Saccharomyces cerevisiae S288C: one gene and its partner. Changing the gene in region 2 together with the main gene of any one other region gives a genetic interaction. Each region holds a gene or a part of one and is shown on either strand. Other genes may lie near its edges.

Evidence for each region.
Region 1: mutations in YJL163C (region 2) and RUB1 together harm fitness more than expected from each alone (negative genetic interaction), as found in Saccharomyces cerevisiae (2 studies listed by BioGRID).

Annotation. Positions count from the first base shown.
Region 1 is NC_001136.10:732,812-735,530, forward strand, and holds RUB1 (NEDD8 family protein RUB1), read right to left. Parts: upstream 1,114-2,719; coding exon 965-1,113; intron 892-964; coding exon 807-891; downstream 1-806. Other genes in the region: HPR1 (Hpr1p), read left to right, coding at 1-25; MTQ2 (S-adenosylmethionine-dependent methyltransferase), read left to right, coding at 1,327-1,992; DOP1 (Dop1p), read right to left, coding at 2,090-2,719. UniProt on the Saccharomyces cerevisiae protein: Ubiquitin-like protein modifier that can be covalently attached to lysine residues of target proteins. Activated by the dimeric UBA3-ULA1 E1 enzyme and conjugated by the E2 UBC12 to substrate proteins.
Region 2 is NC_001142.9:111,031-115,147, forward strand, and holds YJL163C (uncharacterized protein), read right to left. Parts: upstream 2,304-4,117; coding exon 636-2,303; downstream 1-635. Other genes in the region: cAMP-dependent protein kinase catalytic subunit TPK1, read right to left, coding at 1-129; JJJ2 (Jjj2p), read right to left, coding at 2,848-4,117.

The DNA of each region.
Region 1 (2,719 bases), on a different chromosome or scaffold from region 2:
TTCATCTACCCAAGATATGAAATAAATTATCCTCTTAATAGAAATTTTAAACTGATAAGAAATTCATGCATAGTGTCCCAAACAATTCAGATAGATTTTAGCGTACCACAGAGATCCTATCAGAGAGTAATACTTATGATGAAAACAAAAGTCAATCCATTCGGTTTAAAAAAATGACAAACCTATATTTGATTAGATTAATCAGGCGTCAATAACGTCCTTAGAAGTCCCTTTGCTAAGACTGATATCGTTGGCAAAAGCATGCTCCGAGTTTAGTATATACTTCCACTTGATAAAGTTGTAGCGCAAAGGATGCTTTTCTTAATGAGAAATTCGGTATACTACAAGAGGACATCCAATCGTGCTTACAAAATTGCCCTGGAAGACATGATTGAGAAGAAATGGCGAAATATGTCTTTTGGTCAGATAGTCTGTAATCGCATATAACAGTATGCTTGGTTTGCTCTTTATCACCACGCTTTTCCTCTCTTTCCAGCGCGAACCATGCAATGGCCAGCTTTATGAAATTTAAACCATAAAGTCATATGAGACCAGCAATCAGACCATATATAGCCGTACTATGCTATAACGGATAATTTGATAGATACTAAACAGTTTTAGTTCACATTTCTCGTCTAAAAACAATTAATTTATTATAACAGACTCTATAGACTAAATTGTATGTATTTTTTTTTTTGACAAATTGGGGGCGGTAGCCTTCCAAAGTCCAAGTGAACTTATGTTCGTTTTGTCTTCTTTTCTAATGAACACCTTCGATAAAATTCCATAAATGACGGAAAATGGTTCTAGTTACCACCTCTTAGTGTTAATACCAAGTGGAGTTGCATTCCCTCTACTAGATGTGCATCCGTTACTGTTAATTTATCATCACTATCCTGGTCGTTAGTAAGGTCTCAAAAACGTAAATAAACTTAAAAGATAATTAACCACTGAATGAACATACATTTGTTTTCCCTGGAATATAAGTCTTTGTTGAGATGGTGGAATCCCTTCTTTTTCCTCCAAAAGTTCCTTGATGTGATATACGAGATCTGATTCCTTCAGCTCAACAGAGATCTCCTTCCCAGTCAGTGTCTTCACTTTAACAATCATCGGTTACGGCTGTAAGGAAGTTAATTACCTTCCTTTATTTATTCCTCTGTCGGAATACTTCATTTGAATAACAGAATTTTGGTTTTTCAGCTAAAAGTTGTTCGTTTGCCTTCCCGAAGACGCCATCGGAATTTGATTTCATATAAATATTGATATAATTATACTCTGAAATATAATATTGATAAACTTAACACAGGGTGAGAAAGGTGAAGTATGCTACCGACCCCTTATGTAAAATGCGATTACGATAAAGTATATGAGCCTGCTGAGGATAGCTTCCTCATACTGGACTGTTTGGAAAAAGAGCATGATTTTTTGAAACAGAAATTTGGTAATCGTTTGGCCATCGTTTGCGAAATTGGTTCGGGATCAGGTATCGTCACAACATTTCTAATGCAAAACAAAATAATACCGCAGGAAAATTCCATCCACTTAGCTGTTGATATCAACCCATGGGCGCTCGAAGCAACTTTGGATACTGCGAAGTTAAATTCATGTAAAAGTTCTTTTTTAGAAGTGATTCAAGCTGATTTAAACTCCAGTATTCGGAATAATCAGGTTGATGTCCTAATATTTAACCCACCATATGTGCCAGCAGAATGTGTGCCAGATGTCCCAGGATCAAGAGAGGAGGCAGACCAATGGCTAGATTTAGCGTTATTGGGTGGAAAAGACGGGATGGCGATTACTGATAAACTGCTACGACAATTAGAACAAATTCTTTCTCCAGATGGTGTTGCATATATATTATTTTGTGCAAGAAATAAGCCTAAAGAAGTCATTAAGAGGTTTGTCGATACTTACAAATGGAATGTGAAACTTATTGAAACGAGAAAAGCGGGATGGGAAGTCCTCAGTGTGTACAGCTTTACAAGGTGACAGTTGCAAAACCTTTCACGTTATAATTGATAACCTGTGTCTTTACTCAAAGCGTATAACTATATTTCGGTTTATAAAGAAAAATTCATAGCTATGCTCATGACAGAATATCTTTTTTGAGATCTTCACCACAACCATATAAATCAACTGACCCTAGTCCGTAAACTTTCTCATAATGTAGATAACTCAAATTCTGGAAGAAGCTTCTTAGTTGCGTGTGTCTCTCGATTTTGTGAATGCCTCGTAATAATGGGAGACCATCTTTTAAAGTTGTCGGTAATTCAAGATCATCAGTTTTGGTTATTTCGTAATCTTTGAATTCTGCGATTTCATCTACCAGCGCGACGAATGAGTTCGTTTTATATACGCAATTTATTGTATCAATAACAAAGATCCACTCATTCGTAGAGGTGAAGCCTTCCATGTTGAGTAAGAGTAGCAAATCCAAAGTTTTACATACTTGCAATATTGTTTGTGGATCGACTTCTGACTGTATTTGAAGTGATTCATAAAATTCTTGCAAATTAGTTTGTAAACAGTAACTGATCATAGACCAATAGTCATTGAAATGGGACTCTGAAAATCTTAAAAGTAAAACCCTTAGTAAGATCCAGCAGCTTCCCTTGAGCTTGATATCTTTGGACACCAAATAGTGGAAAATGCAACTTATTAAAGAGGAAAAGTGCAACAAATATGCGTCATTTGGCGATACCATCAACAAGTACGA
Region 2 (4,117 bases):
AGACTTACTTTCGTTACCGCTCTCTGTGGCTGTTGTTTCCCTTTCACTAGTCTCACCTTTTTGTGATTCCTCACCTTGTCTATCATCTAGAGACTTTTGACCACCTCCATTTTGTTCTTCAGTCGACATACCCAAAAAAAAGATTCTTTCACACAATCAGCTATAATTCATGCACTGCTTAAGCTAAGAGAACACTACTTTCTGTGCTACCTTTGAAGCCGATTGAAAATGCAAGCAAGCCAAACAAAAAAAAAAGTATAGGGTCAGATTCCTTAGCTTTATCAAATTAAAACTCTTAGATGGATACAATCGCAGCTTCTATGATGTTTCGCACCTAAAAATTCTCACGTTTTTCTGGCCAGAGATAGTAGATGAATATTTTTCAAGTTTTCAAGTAAAGGGATACGATATCCCCCTTGATTATTATGTCAAACTTTTACCAGATCCCGCCTTCCCTCCCCCCTAATAGCGCGAAAAAAAAGATCATCATGATTACGTAGAAAAAACCACAACAACACTATGTTGAATCATGTCATAAGCAAAGTCGTTAGGACACTGGCTTTGCAAGAACGAATAGCAGCACAGCTTCGAACAAGTAACTAAAAATATGTGGTGTATACGGTATGTAAATGTTTTTAAGGCCCGTCCAGCGGAGGGTTCTTGTAAATTCTTAGGAAGAATGTCAACAAGATGGCAACAATACTTGTTGAGAACGGTATATACATAAACAGACTAGGATTAACGGAGACAGTACTTCCATATAGCTTAAGGAGGATGGGAGGGATGACAAGCATAACACAGGACCTTACCAAAGCCATTGCTCCGAACATCTCGCCTGTATGTTTCTTAGAGGTGTACTTTATGATACCAGACTGCAAAGTTGGTGAACAAAACGCGCTCAATGCCTGTAAAAGAGCGAATATTATCATGGATGTGGGAGTTTTCTCGCCAAATCGTATCATGACAAAGAGACTCAGTGTTATAACAATCATAGAAAACTGTATGCAAAAGATGTCTATCTTGTCTATCGAATGGTTCAAGTGTTGATAAATCCTCTTTAGCGTGTACAGTAATGTAGGTGATACGACCAGTAACACAACACCTCTTCCGATACCCAGTATCGATATGAAATAACCTAGCTCTACTGCATGCCATTTGTACTCATATGTAGAAAACAAAATCAATGCTGGCATACACGATGTCGTTCCACAGACAAATAGTATATCGAGTACAATGAGTAATATTACGGTATGCCGGGGTACTAAAGACCCTGCACTGTCGGGCTTCAGCCATAACTTTTTTACTGGAGCGAGCAGGTCCATTAACCTCATTATTTGAAATTTTCCATAAGTAACGGATTGGTAATTTCTTGCATCGTCAGAACCCGATTGTGATCTTAGTTTCTCTCTCCTCTTTGTATAAGTTGATTGTGAATGGGCCATTTGGGTTTCATGGCGCGGTTCCACCATGATTGTCTCACATATTATAAGCGCCAGTATAACAAACGCTATTGATGTGTAAATAGGAATGAACCCGTTTCCATGAGTCCACTTCACCAGAAAGGACCCAAACATTGGGCCTACGCCCATAGTGGCATATATACAACTCATCATTATTCCTATTGTCACCATTCTGTGCTCAGTTTTCACTATATCTGAAACGTAACTATTTCCATTCGCCACTAGCGCAAACAAGCCACCGAATGATGGTACGATACACGCAGTAAGAACAATAGCCCATTTGTGATACTTCATTTTCGATGATAGGGTAAAGACGTGCGTAAGAAGCCCTATGACCCTGATGCCGCTCATGTATTTGAAAACACGCACTCTTCCTATTCTATCGGATAATTCTCCCCACTTACCAGCCATGAAAATACTGATTGCCCCTGCTATCATCATAGTGGATGAAGAAATGCTGGAAACTATTGTCTGTACAGCCACGGAATCATAATGTCCATTCTCATCTGAAATTCCTTCCGCTACCTTGTCCATCACCAACGGTATTGTAGCAGTCATAGAAATAGACTCCGCAATACAGATAATCATAACAAGGCCGTAAAGGCATAATAGTTTTCTACGTCCATGCTCTCCCTCAACGCTTTTGGCAACACTCAAAATACTGGGGGAGCGCCGGATAGAGTCATAGCTACTGTCCTGAGCTGTTTCATTAGTATCCAAATTTATTCCAGTACTGTCATTTTGACTAATGATTTCTTCCAAGGCGTTGATCCCAGCCGTTTCCAATAAATAGTCCATCTCATCTGAAGACATTAAACGAGTTGTTTCATCCTCGTTTGACATTGTTCTGCGCCTTTGCTTCGCACGGTTTGAAGATGTATACGTGAAATGCAAGAACTAGGGTTTGTATTCCTTATAAGTCTATTAGACTTCTTGCAGATCAGCCCTTCATCTTGTTGGTTTTTAGGAATCCCTTACCCTTTATTTTTTTTTTTTTTGATTTCGATTAAGGGCGGGAAATCATGATAAACTTCCACGGAACAACAATAAACGCTCGGCCAATGTTAGTAAGATACACTGTACTTACCTGATGATAATCCCATAGCACTTTCATTCACTTGGAAGCCAAACCAGTTTATAAGTACTTTTAAATTGCCAAGTGCACCCTTTGGTAATTTTTTTTTACTTTTACCATTTTCTGTAAGAATTTTCTATTTATTTCAGTAGTTTATTGAATTTCCATAACTAAATATATATTTAAGATATTAATAATTGAGACATGAAATGTACTGACTAGATACTTTTATATATTTTACATTATTCATTCAAATTATTTCCATCCTGGCGTAAGGACGACGGGTATATGCTCATTAAGAAGAGCGTTCGATTATACTTTACCGTCACATCTTTCGGAAAAAATTTTAATGACCTGCATCTGTCTTTCTTGTAAGATGTTCAATTTGTCCATTAAACTTTTATCAAATTCTAGGTATGTTTTCCAAACCATAATACTTTGCTTTTGGGTTAACATATCACTGAACTGCGTATCTGCTCTCAGGCGCTGTAATGATACTTGATGTATTGTTTCTTTAAGTTTGTTACATTGGTTATTAAACAGCTGCACGTTAAGCTTCAATGTTTCAAGGTCAGCCACTGCATCAAATTCCGGAATCTCTGGTATTTCCAAATCTAAGATCTCGGGTGTAATTCCACACTGTTCTAGTAACGGTTTGAATTTTGCACGATTACTTTCTGCTTGGGCAAAAGTTCCACCTTGTTCGTGACTCTGAGTGGTCTTCGGCTTTTTAAAAAGATTGATTGATTCTAACGAGTCATTAATTGCATCCATCATAAAATAATCTTTTTCTCTTGGTAAAGATTGGAACAATTCTTCTAAAGATATATCATCTTTCTTTCTCCTTTTCATCCCTTTAGGTTCTTTGATAGATAAATTTTCTATGTCGATTGAGTCGCTGTGATTTTTATCACCTATTTCATCCCGACGAAACAGCAAGTCTTTATTTCGATCGTCTACATTGCTTATATTGAGTTTTTCAATAATGTCTCTCAAAATGTTCCATCCTTCATTGGCACTAGTTGTTGCAGGTATCTCTTTAATGGGAGAAACTGACTTTCTAAACTGATTCTTGCATTCGAATTTACTTCTTGCGTAATGTCGATACTCATGATTGTAAAAAGGAGATTGCAAATTTGAATCATGGGATCCACTAGAAAAAGTACTGGTCTTGGGCAATTTAAATTGTTTGTGTCCCGTTTCTTCTTCGCCATTTTCCTCTGGAGAGACTCTGCTTTCCCTTTTCGGTTCTTTATTATTTTTTTTTTCTTCATCAGGACTGCTAGACTTCGACGTCATTCCATAATGTTGCTGCTGTTGCTGTTGTTGCTGCTGTTGCTGTTGTTGTTTTCCTGCTTCTTCTTCTTCTTCATGATCGCTTAGTGCTGATCCCAAACATGAATTTGGATCTTCAGAGTAAGATTTATGTGTGTACGCATTTTTACCCAATATTTCCCATATTTCTTGGAACTGAGAGTTCGTATCCATTTTACCGGCATCAGTCATTCTTACTTTTGAGGCTCCATTGGTTTCATGGAACAAAGAATCAATATCAGGACTTCCATGTTTCCTTTCCTTTTTG